Linked DNA regions of Diceros bicornis minor. Each later gene encodes a partner of the first gene's protein in a complex. Links are inferred from orthologs where the notes say so. Each region holds a gene or a part of one and is shown on either strand. Other genes may lie near its edges. The genes, in order: GLI1 and SUFU.

Region 1 (7,301 bases):
CTGGGGAGGGGCCGGAGACAGCAGGGCTCGCCATAGCTACTGACTGGTGGTGGGGTCATCGAGTTGAACATGGTGTCTCAGAGGAGAGTGTGGGGACACTGCAGGAGGGGAAGGGAGATCTGCAAGTCATAAAGGCAGGAGGGAGACAGGGAAGGTCAGATAACTACCTCAGGCATGGAACCCAGGGCAGAGCTTCCTGTGCCCTCAGCCCCTCCAAGACATCTTCCGTGGGAAATCGAGTTGAAATGAGCATCACTCAGCTAAGGAGAGGGTGAGGAGAGAAGTCCCAAAGAGGCAGAGGCAGTCTTGGCGATCTCTGTGGGAACTGGGTGGGACCTTTGCCTGGGTGGTCTGTGTGTGTGGTGGGAGGAGAGCGGGGTGTGGACTAATTGTGCCTATATGAGCTTCAAGTGACTTTATACCATGGGCCCTCTCTTTCCTCTTGCTCAGACCACGGGCCAGCTTTGACAGGTGGGATGGGGAACTCATGCGGAGCATCTGACTTCAAGCCCTGGGCTGGCTCCTCTGCCTCAGCCCCTTTCCCTCTCCTTCATTTGTTCCTGCCCGGGGACAGCCCGTCTACAGTCTCTCCAGTGTCCAGCAGAGGGCGCTCTCGCCACAGCCCAGACAGAAGCTGCTGGGGCCAGGAGAGATCACCGACGATCTGCCCTTTTCTCCCTATGGCAGAAAACTGTGTGTAGAAGGGGATAAGGTTTCTGAGGGGAGCCTCCCGGGTCTATTGGGTGAAAGGATGAAATGTTTTTCTGATGTTATTCTGGGGTGGTTTGAATCTGGGCTCCCATCTAAATTCTTTTGGTCTGTTTTGGGAACAGGAGAAGGACTATGAAGGAAGGCTTTGAGAGAATGAAAAAATGAAGCCATCATCCATTAGAGAGGAGTAGTGAAGGAGGAGAGGCTGCCGCTGTCCGCTTTTCTCCTCAAACTCCAGTTTTTATTCCGCCCCGGGTTTTCCGGTTTCCCGGGACTGAGGGTGGGGTGGGGCGGGGTAGGGTGGAGAACGACCGGGAGCGGGCCGGCCGGCGCGGTGGGTGATCCCGGGATGCTGGGATTTAGGGTGAGGGCGGGGTAAGATGGGGAGCGGAACCGGGACCCCATGATCCAGCCCGAACCCCGCAGCCTGGGCTGTACCCTTCCTAACTCCTCCTTTCCCAGCGGAGATCCGGGTCCCGCATCCAAGACCTCCCAACTCGACCCTGGCACTAGGTTGGGTGGGGGGGCACAGCTGGCTGGCAGCTGGATGGGGGGACACTTCTCCCGCCTCCTTCTATGACTCACCCAGGGGAAGGAGGCGGGGGCTCGCAAATGACCCCCCAAACACTAAAGAGACTCCCCCAAACGTGCCTACTCTCATCGTCCTGCCCCACAGCCCAGCCGCAGGGGAGCAGAGTTGGAAGTGGGGCGACATCCCTCCTCACCCACGCGTGCCACAGCCCACCCACGTCTCCCCTTCACACTAGTGAAAGAAAAATTTCGCCAACTTTTCCAGCTTGAGTTACGTTTCCTGGGGTGTGGGTGAGAGCGAGGATGGGGCAGGGAGCTCCAGGGTTCCCCTGCCGGAGCCCTGAATCATCTTCTGTGTCTCCCTATTTTCCAGAGTCCCCCTCGCACCCCCGCTCCCCAACTCCCAGGAGTCGGCCCCGCCCCCTTCTCCCGGTCCCGCCTTCCCCGCCTCCGTGCCTTCTCGGCCCACCCAAGTCGCCGCCGCAGGCTCTGGCTGCAGACGGCTCCGCTTCCCCCGCCCGCCCCGGGAGCCCAGTCGAGCGAGCCGCAGTGGAGTCGGAGGAAGGGGGGCGGTGAGAGGCGGGACACATTCTTCCCTCCTCCCCTCAGTGCATCCAGAAAGCTGGCAGTGGCGCGGGGGTGGGGGGGGCACTGTTGGGGAGTGGGGGTCCCCGTGGCGGCGTGGAAAAGAAAGAAGAATGCCGAAACTGTAGGGAGAGAAAGTGGGTAAATAAAATAAGGTGTGTATGGGGAGGAGGAGGTGCCAGGACACCTCAGGTTCCCGGGTGTCCCGGATGGCTTCCCAAGGGTTAACCCCTCCAGACCCCCGGGAACCCCTTAGTGACGTCAAGGGCGGGGTCTGTGCCGCCTGGCAGGGGATGCCGGGGAGATAATGGGGGGGGGTCTCTGGACCCCGCCCCCCTAGGGAAAACCACCCTAATTCCGGCCCTCACAACTCCCCCGGGAAATCGCCCCGCCTTCTCCCTCTACTGGACCGTAAAGATCTATCCTATCAAGACCCCAATTCTCCAGCCCCCTAAAACCTTCAGTCCCCGGTCTCTATGGGATCCCCTTTCCCTAATCCTGTCCCCAAAGCTAGCTGCCCAGGGCGGATTGTTTCGGGGTCACGGGGCCTGAAAGAGGCTTCAGAGCGGGGAGCAAGGGCAGGCAGGGTGGTCTGAGCCAGAGGAGGGGCCTCGGTCCCCAGCTCCCGTTTGGGAGGGGGGCCAACAGGGATGCACAAGCAGGCAGCGGCCAGTGGTCCCGCCCAGTCCCAGTAGGGGTCTCCCTGCGGCTGGCCCCAGCTGCCCTGGTGGTCCTGAGGTCAGAGGGTCAAGACAAGGTCTCCTCAGCTCCTCCTTAGCACCCTGCCCACAGCCCTTGGGACTCAGGAGTCCAAATTCCCTGGGGAGTCTTTCTAGGGCCTAAACTAGACACTGGCCCCTCCAGCCACCCTCCTAGTCCAGAAGGCACTCCTCTTCCTCAAAACACATGCACCCGAAAGCACATCTGTCACAAGACAGGTCAGGGGTTCAAGCCTAGCCGCCCCCCGGTGGTTCTGTCGCCTCACACACACCCATCTCCACCCCACCTAGGGCTCTCTCCTTAGCTGTCCCCTCCTTTCAGAAACACTGACGTCTTCCTGCCCGGCGCTCAGAGACACACCTGGAGTTCCCTCTACCACGCAGACCTCCAGCTAGCCGTCCCTCCAGCCTCTTCATCCCAACCTCATGGAAGTGAGATGTTTCTAATGTATGGGAGAGGCAGAGACAGACAAAGAGATCCACGGTTGCCTGAGACAGAGACACACAGACTGTCAGAAGAAAAAAAGATACAGAGAAACGGAGACACAAATGAAAAAATTCTCCAAACTTTCTAAGATCTCACCCCAGGCTCTCCCACCCCCATTTTGCCTCTGGGCCCCAGGTCTCCCTCTTGGCTGGGCAGAGTCCCTCGCAAGCAGAGCATCCCCTCAAGCCCCCTCCCCCACCGCTCCCAGGTGGTCCCCCGCGCGCCCCCCTTCTCACCTCCGCCTGGGCGCAGGGCTCGGGATGCGCGGTCCAGGTCTGGAGTCTGGGCTGGGGGTGTGCGGTGGGGAGGGGGGGCGGACAGGGCCACAGCAGCGCAGCCTCAGTGCCACCCCCACCGCCCTAACCTGGCCCCCAGCCCTCCCGCCGGCCCAGCCCGCCGGGCCGCGAGCCGGGACCACCCGCGAGAAGCGCAAACTTTTTTTTTCTTTTTGCAAAAACTTTTTCTCGCTCAAGCTGCTGGCGCGCCGCCGCTCTTCCCGCTCGCCCCTCACCTCCCTCCTATTTCCCTCCCTCTCACCGTTCTGGAAGATGAGGCGGGGTAACTGGAAGCGAGAGAGGGGGTGCCGGGCTTATTGCACCCCCAGGACCCCCAGGATCCTCCCCCTCCCTTGAGGGACCCTATACTGCCTGCCCCCCCTGCCCCCCCGCTGAACACGCTGCTGCTGGTGGGCAGTAAATCCCGGCATGGATCCTTGGATCGACTACCCACGAAGAGGCCCTGAATCAGAACCAGAAAAAAGATTGATAGATATATGCGGGGGGGGGGGGGAGGCGGGGGGCCGGGGCGACTAAAAGTTCGTCCGAGAAAGATAATATTGAAGGTTGGGTCGTCGACTTTGGCTGGTGCTGATTGAGCATTCCGCCACCCTGTGGTTTATCTGCCGGCTTCACCCATCGGATGGAACGTGAAGGGGTTGGGACAGAGTTGGAGTTTGATGGAAACAGGGTTGGGACAGAGTTGGGGTCGCCGGCCCTGCGCGGAAGGTGAGGGAGTCTATGAAGCACAAAAGAGAGGAGCAGGTGGCTCAGGCTTTGGGTGCAGCGTGTGTTCACAAGGTTACAAAGGAGCCCTGGGGCTGAAGCATGTTCCCTGAGAACCTCCGTTCTCCTTCATCTCTAAATTCTGGAGACTGCGGCCACCTCCGCACCTCTGCGCTGCCCGCTCTCTTTCGGCTCCTCAAGGCTGTCTGCTCCCTCTGCTGGCCATTCTGCCACATCACACCCTCTCAGAGTCTGACTGGAGGCAGAGGAGACTGGGGGAGACTTAGCAGGTCTCCCCACCCAAGGCCCAGTTAGGAGCCCAGGGAGGGGGTTGTATGAGCCCACAGAAACGGAGGGCACACCGGCAGAGGCTGCTAGCGCAGAGCGGTAGTACCTAACTGATAGGCGAGTGCCCTGTGCCTTGGGATTTGTGTTGCCATGGCGACCAGATGCAGGGGAAGGGGCAGCTATTTTAGTCTCTCTGACTTTTCCTTATGAGAAAGGGGAGAAAGCGTGGTGGGGGAAAGGAGTCCCCTCCTTTTATGTCACCCCTCAGACAGACCTCCCACATCCTAGCTCTGCTTCCAAGAACCACTTCCTTGGGCCTGGGGGGTCACTAGGTTCAGTATTCAGTCTGAGGGTCCATGGAAAAAGTGCAGCTAGGAAGACCTCTGAGGCCCTACAAGTATAGGTAGTAATTGGGCAGGGACATTTGACCCTCCTTCCCCCACATGACTTTGACCCAGACACCAGTTATACCCAGAGGGTCAGGCAAGACCAATGGTCACTAGAGAAGAAGGGACCCTACACATGCTCCAGTCCCAGCCATCTGCCCCTTCCCTCAGGCTGGCTCTTTTAGAGCACAGTGCTTTGTCCTCCCCACCGAGGTCTCTAGATCGGCGAGTCTCAAACATTTTGGTTTCAAGACCCTTTTACACTTAAAAATTATTGAGGTTTTGTTTATGTGGTTTATATCAATTTACCATATTAGAAATTAAAACTGAAAAAAAGTTTGTAACACAAGAATACACAAGCACCATCCCATTAACAATGCTGTCAGATGATGTAATCACATGTCACACAGCCTCTGGAAAACTCCACTGTATGCTTTCGAGATAATGAAAATTAAAAAGGCAAATAACATCTTAGTATTATTACGAAAATAGTTTTGACCTTGGGGACATCCCTGAAAGGGTCTCAGGGACCTCCCAAGGGTCCCCAGACCGCACCTTGAGAACCTTTGCTTTGGACCATCACCCCAGCCCTTCTTTATGACTCACACTTGTTGATTTGTTTTCCTTGTTTTTATTAGGAAAGTAGAAACGTTTGTCTCCCCATTGGGTCCTGCCCCCCCAGGAAAAACCAGGGAACTTCTCAGGCCCAGCACCCTTCTCTCCTGACTCCCATTTCTGGGGCTCTCCTGAACACCTTCCCTCAGCCCCTTGCCCATCTCCCTCTTGACCCTCCCTTAAAGCACTTCGACAGCCCCTACCCTTGGCCAGCCGGTTCCGCTGTTCCAAGCCTGCTGGGTCCTCGGTCTGCTTCTCCTTCCCTCACTTGAGGACTTTCTCTTCTTGAGAGAGACTAAGTCATTTTTCTCTGCCTTCTCCTCCCCCCCCCCCCCACCTCTGCCATCTTCTCACAGGGCTTAGGGTAGGAAATCATGCTTTCTGGGTAGATTCCTTTAGAAGACACACTTTCCCTATCTCCCCACACATCAACCAGCCTGGAATAGGCCAGAGGCTGGACAAGAAAGTGCCCATCTGGGTCCCATAGAGGTCAACCCAGTCATATTGCCAGGTGGCCCACTGGGTGGGGCTGTGGATCAGAAATCTGATGCCCCCAGCCACAGATGCCCTTTGCCTGGGAACCCCCAACGTGATCCCTTTACTCCAAACCCCCAGGTCCACTTGCTAGCTGCAGCCACAGGCCTCCACCACCATGTCTGGCACATCCGTCTTGACCACATTGCCTTCACGGTCAAGATAGAGGAGAGAGAGAGGCCTTCGGGCAGTAGGGACACAGCAGGAATTACCAAAGGGCCAAGGGTTGTTGGCCTTGAGGAGGCTGAAGACAGCAGAATGGAAGGAGGCAGCAATGCCGGGGCTGCCAGCCAGATGGGGGGGGCACTGGCCACTGCAGTAATTCAGCTGGTACCCCTCGGGCTGCAGAATCCAGTCCCGCCACCCCAGTTCCTGAAAGTCTACATAATGGTCTCGCCTACAACATAAGGGAGTCTCAGGCTCACAAGTGGGGGTCCTCCTCTTGGCCCGGGCTGCTCCAGGCTCATTGGGCCGGATCTTAAGCTCCAGGAAGGGCTGCTGGTTTCCCGCTGTGTCCAAGAACCGGCGAGGTTGTCGGGCAGCTGTGCTGTTGCCTTCTAGGGGTCTGCAGTCTAGTTGGAGTTTCAGGACACCAGACTCCTCACCCCTCAAGCCACTAGAGGGCAGAGTCAGGGCGTGCCAGCCCGGGGTTGTCATTTGGTGCTCAGCAAGGAGGGCGCGGGACCGTCGGCGCCTCCTCCTTGGGCCCCATCGGAAGATCTTCAAGTAAAGACTGTCAGGAAGGGTGGGGAGCACGTGCAGCCAGAGGCGTGCGTGGTACAGGTGGTGGGACTGAGGAGTGGACAGGCGGAAGGTGAGCATGAAGCTGCAGGTTGCAGTGGAGGAGTCTGCCAGAAAGATGGAGAAGGGACTGAGGAACGTGAGCAGAGATGAAGCTCTGCTCTGAGAGTCCCATAAGCCCGGCCCACTGCTTTCCCTAGCACCCACCTTTAGAAGAAACAGGGACTGCTTTGCGTCCTCCGCAACCAGTCCCTGCCCCATCTCCGCCTCCTCCTCCTACACCCCACTCCCTCTGCCTTTTCTGTCAGTCTCCCCTTCTGCCTCCTTTTCCCCATCTGCTCTCTGCCTGTTTCTCCCTCACCTACCTGTGATGGTAGCAAAGCTGATGACCTCCTCCCCATTCGCTGGAGCCACACTTCCTGGCTGTAGTCTCCGAAGCGCTCTGGTCAGCGCTGCCTGGGGTGGAGGATGAGTTATTCTGGGACGACTGGTCAGGTGCAGCCCCTCCAGGATTTGCTGTTTGGCTAGCTCCAGGACCAGAGCTCGTTCTGCTTGGGGTGCTAGTGTGCGGCCCCCACAGGAGGGGCACACAGACCCTGCCCCCTGTGCCCACACCAGCGCCCACAGCAGCACCAGCTGGAACTGGACATCAGGGAGCCCCATGCTCCTGGCGGATGGCCCTGGGTCGGGTTGGGAGCCTCAG
Region 2 (7,351 bases), on another chromosome or scaffold:
AAGGGAAGCTCTCCCAGGAAGGACCCCATGAAACTGCAGAACTCTGGAAAAGATGGGAGTGACTGCAGGCTTCATATCCGCTCCAGCTTCCTGCTGCATATTCTCAGTCTTGCCCCTCCCTCAGCTGAGGTCCATCCAGCAACAAGTGGCAAAACTATGTCCACTCTTCCATGCTCCATCTGTGACCTCACTGCAGCTCTCTTTCTGGCCAAGTCTCCCAGGAGGTATTGCATCAAGGAGAGAGGCTTTACCTTAAAACCCCACTGCAAAGAATGACCAAGAGTCAGACAAAATTAAGCTAGTCCCCAAGCACAGACTGTAATATTCTACTTACTCAGAGACCTGACGGGAAGCAGACGAGTATACAGAAAATAATCATATTTTGCACTTAGAGAAAGATGTTATTCAAGGACCCAGAGCATCCCTCAACTTAATTCCTACAACACTTAACTCTGCAGGGCAGGTACAGGACTGGAGTGGCCCCAGAGCACAGGCTCTGCCTCTCTGCTTCTGCTCCCTGCTCACTAAAGTCTCCGCTTTCAGCCAGGATGTCCCTGCTGGCCAAGGACCACTAGCCAAAGAGCCACCCTTCTGTTGCAAGAAAAGGAATCCCAAGGTAACCTGGCCCACAGCCAGACCCAGGCAGCCTCAGTCTGTCATCCTGCCATGAGAACTGAAGAGGCCTTGTGGGACTCCAAATGTGAGGGATATCAATGAATTAATTTCAGGATCTTAATTACGCAACCCCCTTTGAATCTTAGAAAGAATCATTTGCTGAGCTGTCCCCTCTTACGTTTTTCTTCATCTAGGCAGCATTTCTAATTTCACAATCCTTTTTAGTCATCATTACATGCTGGCCCATCTCTGGCCTTCATCATTCACCGAGTCTAGACCATTAACAAGTTTGCAGCAAGAAGAAGAAAAAAAGTTGCCCAAACCAGTCTTAGTCCTTTGCACATGCTTCAATACCTTTTACACACAACTCTATCCTTCATGGCCAGTTGGGTGACATAAAAACAGTTGCCCAAGTCCGTGTAGGGATTTCTCCCTACACTCAAATGCGGCCTGAAAAAACAGTATGGCAGAGGCAGGCCCACTTTTCTCATGACACAATCCAACAGAGTTCATCACAATACATATTTAAATATAGAGGTGCAATTAGAATGGGTGATTAAGTTATCAAGAGCTGCTTTTCACTCAGAAGCTCTCTTCAAAAACTCCTCTCAACCAAAGAACAGTGTGCTTGCCAGAAAGAACTGTACCACTGGCCACACCTCCTCCGGCTACCAGACAGAGACAGGCTGCTCCTCGTGGCCCTCCCTAAGCAGCAGGTGGCTGGTCCTCAGGCCCTCCACACTGTCAGCCTCTTCACATCCTCCCATCGACACAGGGAGCTGGCCTCAGCCCTATCCAGCCTAGCTTCTGCCATCTCTGGAGGAAGTAAGAGGTTGTCATGTAGGAGAAAGACTCAGTCTTAAAGGGAAAGGTAATCAGCAAAGACATCCCCTTCATTCACTTCTACCTTGAGTCTACCTACCCCCTCTGCCACAGGCCAAGCAGATACCTGAAAAGTCTTCCAGGATTCAACAAAGGGACCATCTAATACAATGCTTGCATGAATGTGGTTCTGGACAGATTCAACCAATTCTTGTCAACTTTTGGTCCAGAAAGACCATGAAGACAGGCTCTTTTCCAGAGTCCCCACAACACCTGTTTTGCCCAGAGGCTGCAGGAAGAGACAGGTTGCAAACAGGAATGAGAAACTAGAAAAGACCATTCCTACCCCAAGGGCAGCCCATCTGTAAACAGGTCTAATCCTTAACAGAGCTACTTGAGGGTTACTCTCAGCTTCCCTGAGACACTGCTGCCTAAATCCTAAAGTTCGTGGCCAGGAAGTTCCTCTTAACATCACACTGCACTTCTTTCCTCTTTGTCTAACTCCCAGGTCTTCATCATTTACCGAGGTCTCCTTCAATCCTGACCCAAATCATGGATCTCCCTGACCCTGCCTGCCTCTGTTCTAGCCAATGACCTAAAGCAAAGCAGCTGCAGAGCCAGAGGAAGCTCTGCATGGAGAAAGAGAACTGTGCAGAGTAAGCAGAAAGTTTATCAGGAAAAGTTGCCCGGTGAAACTTCAAACGCAAAAGCATTGCACTGATATGATGTCTGAGCTCACTGGGAAGTATCAAAACGAGACCTCCTCCTCATCTCTTCACAAGCACGACGCTCACAGCTTGCTCCCCTCCTAACCCACAGGAGAGCCCGGGTCCCCAGACCGGCCCCAACCCTATGCTGTCTCGTGCCCTTTGAGCTCCTCCAGCCCGGCTCCTCCAAAGCTCTCTCATATGCTCCCCAGGCCCCGCCTCGCCTCCCTCATCCCGCTTCGGCCGCCCCTCCTTGGCTTCCCCTCGCCCACTAATGACCCCCTACAGGCGCCCCCTCCTTTCACCACGTTTACAGTTCCCTCTCTCCTACCGTTCCCCTCTCAGCTCCTACACACACCCCCAATTCACTTTATTCTCCTAATCTCAGTTAACCCTTCAGCCTTCCCTCCTTCGTTAACCCTTCGCTACCCACAGGCTCCGTTAACCCCTTTGTCCCCATTCGCAATTTGAGCCTTAACTCCTTCCCTCGCAGCAGGAAGCCCTCCTTCCAGTGCTTTAACCATTCTCTGTCTCCTCCTCCAACCTTGCAAATTACTTCGCCCCCGGCGCTTTAACCCTGCCCAGCCCGCCCCTGTCCGTCTCCCCGCGGCCCAGGGCATACCAGTACTTGACGATAGCGGTAACCTGGAGCGGGTTTGGCTGGTCAGGGTAAAGGCGGCGGCACTCTCCGTAGATGGCGTGCAGTCCCGGGGGGAAGAGCGAGGCGAAGGCCGGGGGGGCAGTAGGGCCAGGGGCCGGGGGCGCGGTGGGGCCGGGGGCGCCACTAGGCCGCAGCTCCGCCATCGGGGCGTGTAGGACGCTGGGGAAGCCAGGGAAGGCGGACGAGGCGAGAGCACTGACGCGCCAGCGGCGGACTCCGTGGGTGCGACTCCCCGAGGCGACGGGGGCTGCAGCGAGGTGTAGGCTTCGCGCCTGCGCACGGCGCACCGTCCGCCCTGGCAGTCGCCGCCGCAGAGACCGCCAGAGGGTGCCTCGGCGGCCGCGGGGCGCTCAAGGGGGCGGGGCGCCGGCGCGCCCTATCCCAGCATCCATTGGCTAGTGTCTGTGCCAGTCACAGGTAGGGAAGGCGTGACTTGACCATAGGTCCCGCCTCCCTCTGCCTGCGTTTGGGGTGTCCCAAGGCTCTTGGCCTCCCCCTAGTGTTAGGAGGAACCTAGACTTAAATAGAGATGTTGCGGCATGCTTCTGAGGTGCTAGGGTCTCACGAAAGCCGTGGAAAGTGCACCGACGAAAGGCTTCTCACTGTTTTGCTGACACGCTGCTAACAAGGATTTAAATATAAATCTGACAATAGATTGATTCATTCGTCCGTGTGGCATTAGTTTTATTTTATTATTATTATTTTTTTTTGTGAGGAAGATCAGCCCTGAGCTAACATCCATGCTAATCCTTCTCTTTTTGCTGAGGAATACCAGCTCTGAGCTAACATCTATTGCCAATCCTCCTCTTTCCCCCCCCCCCAAAGCCCCAGTAGATAGTTGTATGTCATAGTTGCACATCCTTCTAGTTGCTGTATGTGGGACGCCGCCTCAGCATGGCCGGAGAAGCGGTGCGTCCCTGCGCGCCCGGGATCCGAACCGGGGCCGCCAGTAGCGGAGCATGCACACTTAACCGCTAAGCCACGGGGCCAGCCCCTGGCATTAGTTTTAATAGATAACAAATCTGAACGTTACCTACCGTCTTTGAATGTCCATTGACTATATCGACTGACACTAACACCGCCAAATTCAGGGGTCATATTTTGAAATACCTATTTTGGAATTCTGTCAGAAAGTAACAAGAGTTAGGTAAACTAGGATCGATTAAAAAGACTTGGTAATTATTTAAAAAATGCTTTTAGTGAAGATGACAATCTCTTTTTTCTTCTGTTTTAGGCAGATGTCTGCAGATTACTTTGAGGAACATCATTATCTACTGTGGCCTGCCCTTCCCCATTACCTTGGCTCTCTGTAACTGGAAAAAAAGTTAATTTCGAAGGCACTGAGTTGGGAATTACTTTCCTGTTTACAATAACTTTTCATATAGTAATGTCTTCCACTCAATGATCTGGAAATTCCAAGAGAAAGGGATAGAAGGGAGTCCTGCTTACCAGTACTATTAACTAAAAGATCCCTGCAGCTTGAAGGCGGGGAGGAAATAATCTAGAGAAGAATGCACTGGGCTCATTTGAAAGCAGTGACACATAACCTCTCTTCACCTCCATTTTCTCGCTCATCAATGTAAATTCTAGCTCCCCACGAAAATTAAAGAGATAGAGCAGTTTCTGAAGTTATTAGATGAACGATGTTTTAATAGCCAAAAAATCATCTATACCAGTAGCTTCAAATGCCAGTCTTCGGACCAATGTTAGCCTGTTGCAAAGTTCACACCTACCCAGGAAAAACGCGAAAAGCAACAAAAATGTACCGTTTTTTCTAAAAAGCAAATTTTATGCAATTTAAATTATTTTCTTTTGTTCTGGCAATATGTCCTTTCCCGTGTGTGTGTATTAAAATTTCCTTTAGTCGAGTGTGATGGCGATAGATTTTTATTAATGTCTTATAGACCCAAATAAAAACATGGCAATCTTATATCGTCCAGGGGAAGTGGTGGGGAGTGGCAGGAGGGATCTGTAAAATCCAAATATGCACGAATTACTGACCAATCCAAACCGAACTACAGACAAGTACTCAAGAAGACTACTTTCATACAACTTTACATATTTCAGCATGCACTGCTAATCCCTTCAAGCGGATTACAGATCCAAGCAAGCAATACCCCCATCAATCGGCATCCCTGTCTATTATCAATGGAGACTACAAAGCCCAGGGTACTGTGCGTCAGAAACGCGACGCCCCGTCTCTTAAAGCAGGCGGGGCTCCGAAGTTGCCTGGCTCGCTAACCCTGGTGCAAGGCATGCTGGGCTTGTAGTTCTTCGGAGGCGAGGTCGGGCCGCTCCCTGCCGCCCTCTACCACCGGCTAGACTGCGCATGCGTGTCAGTGGCGTTAGCAGCGGACCCGGCTGGCAGTTCCTTCCTCGGAAGGAAAGATTCCTCTGCCATGGAGTCCTACGATGTGATCGCCAACCAACCCGTCGTGATCGACAACGTGAGTTGCGTCTTTCCTATCTCTAAAGGGACGTATGCTCTCCTTCCCGAAGGGATTGCTTCCCGGGTTTCAGCCCGGGCCGCCGGCTCTTTGTCACTGGCCCGGCCTGTCAGGCGGGTTCAGCCGCCGCCGCCTCCATCCACCCCACCCCCACCCCCCAGTCCGCAGGCAGGGCGGCCGGCCAGCAACCGTGGGATGGAGAACTTGGGGATGGATAGAGGGAAGAGCTGTAGTGCGGGCCGGGTTCTTGGGCCGTTGGCTTGAGGGGCCTTAACCGATGTGAGCGCCCGGCGCCCATCCCCTCCCCGGTTTCCGATAACTCTATTGGCTGCTCTGGCTGTCCATCTTGACTGATGACCCCGCCTCTGGGCCTTGCCGGATAAGGGCAGCCCTCTGCAGTGATTGGCTCGCGCCCCTGCCATTTTTCCGGGCCGCCATAGTGTGTCCCCTCTCTAAGGGGCGGGGCGATGCACGAGGGTTGTGAGGATTGGTTTCGGGATCGCCCGGTGTAGGGGCCTGACGGGCTAGGGCCTGCCCGCGGGTAGAGAAGGGGTAAGTTTCCCTCTGTCTGCAGCTGGCCGGAGGCTTGGCGGTGTATCTGGGTGGGGCCCGAGAATCTGGTGCGAAAAATAGCCATAAGATTTCAGTTATTTCTGTGATTATAAATTATAACGTGAATAAAGGTCGAGAAGAAAGGAGAGTGACAAAGCAAGCAGGGTGATACCTTCGTCTTCGGAACGCCTAATTGCTGGGGAAAAAAATTACCAAACATAACATTTGCCAGGCGCTCTAGCGCTGACGTGGGTGGGGGGAGTGCACATCCATTCGAGTGGATCCTCACAAAAACTGGGTGAATGGTTAAGGCAGGACGTTTCATCCTCGTTTTACAAATGACAAAACTGAAGCGCGAAGAAGTCTAGTGAGCCCAGGGTCGCACAGTAGAGGTGCCCTAAATCCAGTGCTTTATCCGTTAGCATCAATAGTGACAAATGGAAAGAATCTAAATACTGCTCTTATTTGGGGCGGAGGGGGACAATTGTAAAACAACTGTTTTACGTTTCTGTCTTCCACTCAAATGTTTGGTCCCACCGAGATTGGTTGATACCTTTTCTGTGCCTCTTCTAAATGGCTCCATGGAGGCAAAACTGCCTATTCCCTGTCCGGAGCTGACTGTCAGATGCCCTCTGTTGACCCAGCCCTTGGGACATCTTAGGCATGTTACAAGGTTGTTTCATTTGCATCACCTCATTTAAGCGTCCGGTAGGTAGATAGGAATTACTACCCCCAGTTTATGCAGGAAAGTGAAGCTTGGAGAGGTTTAAATAACAGTATTCAAACTACCTGGTTTATGAGTTGAAGAGCCAAGACTTAAATTGAGATTGAGTTCCAAGGTCCTCACTTTTTCCAAGGAAAGGTGCTTTTTTTGTTGTTAGCTTTCCTTCTCTCCAGGGGTATGAGGTTGAGCTCAGTGACACACCTCATTTTGGGGAGGACTTTTTTTGTCTCTCTCACTAGACTATTAAATCTTTGTGGGAAAAGATAGTATTCCTTCGTTTTTCATTACTCTCGTCTTCACCTCACTCTACACACACACTACCTAGGTCCTGGCACCACTATGTGCTCAATAAATGTTTTTTCATTGGATTGATGGGTGAGTGGATGAATGATTGAATAGCTTTATCACATTAACAAAGAAGTCCCTAAATAAAGAGAGGTTGGGGGTGGGGCGGAGGACCCTAGTTTGTTATGGCAGAGGGTTAGGTATAACTGCTGGATCTTGATGTTGAATTTCAGAGAACACCACTATCTCTGTCTTCAACCAGTTTGTGTGTGCTTCATCTGCCTTTTTTGTTTTAAAAAGAAAATACAAATAGAAATTAGCCATTTCCTGTTTTCATCAGCAGTGCAGAAGGAACGGTCTGTCCATCCCACCAGATCCTCTGCTTCTTGAATTGTTTGGAAGGAGTAGTTCCATCTCCAGCCATTTTCTTTAATGTCACTTAAGCAAATGCTTCTTAGTCTCTCCTTCCTCTCTCTTGGTAGTGTATTTTGAAATGCATCAAATCAGTGGTGAATTTTCAGTTTTAAAATTTAAAGAA

Evidence for each region.
Region 2: the proteins of GLI1 (region 1) and SUFU are in contact, whole or in part, in a crystal structure (PDB 4KMD), measured with the Homo sapiens proteins. The link is inferred for Diceros bicornis minor from reciprocal best matches to the Homo sapiens genes GLI1 and SUFU. Residues at the interface, in NP_005260.1 of Homo sapiens: Gly119, Ser120, Tyr121, Gly122, His123, Leu124, Ser125, Ile126, Gly127; in NP_057253.2 of Homo sapiens: Leu144, Tyr147, Asn153, Thr154, Phe155, Gly158, Asp159, His160, Val161, Ser162, Trp163, His164, Gln212, Asn265, Leu266, Ser267, Gly268, Val269, Ser270, Ala271, Glu376, Leu380, Lys398.

What each region holds. Positions count from the first base shown.
Region 1 is NC_080756.1:11,494,828-11,502,128, forward strand, and holds the start of GLI1 (zinc finger protein GLI1), read right to left. Parts: upstream 3,392-7,301; 5' UTR 3,270-3,391; intron 3,056-3,269; 5' UTR 2,908-3,055; intron 120-2,907; exon of another isoform or gene 99-119; 5' UTR 72-98; coding exon 1-71. Other genes in the region: INHBE (inhibin beta E chain), read right to left, coding at 5,948-6,705, 6,964-7,261. UniProt on the Homo sapiens protein: Acts as a transcriptional activator. Binds to the DNA consensus sequence 5'-GACCACCCA-3'. Regulates the transcription of specific genes during normal development.
Region 2 is NC_080745.1:67,459,653-67,467,003, reverse strand, and holds the start of SUFU (suppressor of fused homolog), read right to left. Parts: upstream 3,093-7,351; 5' UTR 2,949-3,092; coding exon 2,767-2,948; intron 1-2,766. Other genes in the region: ACTR1A (alpha-centractin), read left to right, coding at 5,205-5,252. UniProt on the Homo sapiens protein: Negative regulator in the hedgehog/smoothened signaling pathway. Down-regulates GLI1-mediated transactivation of target genes. Down-regulates GLI2-mediated transactivation of target genes. Part of a corepressor complex that acts on DNA-bound GLI1.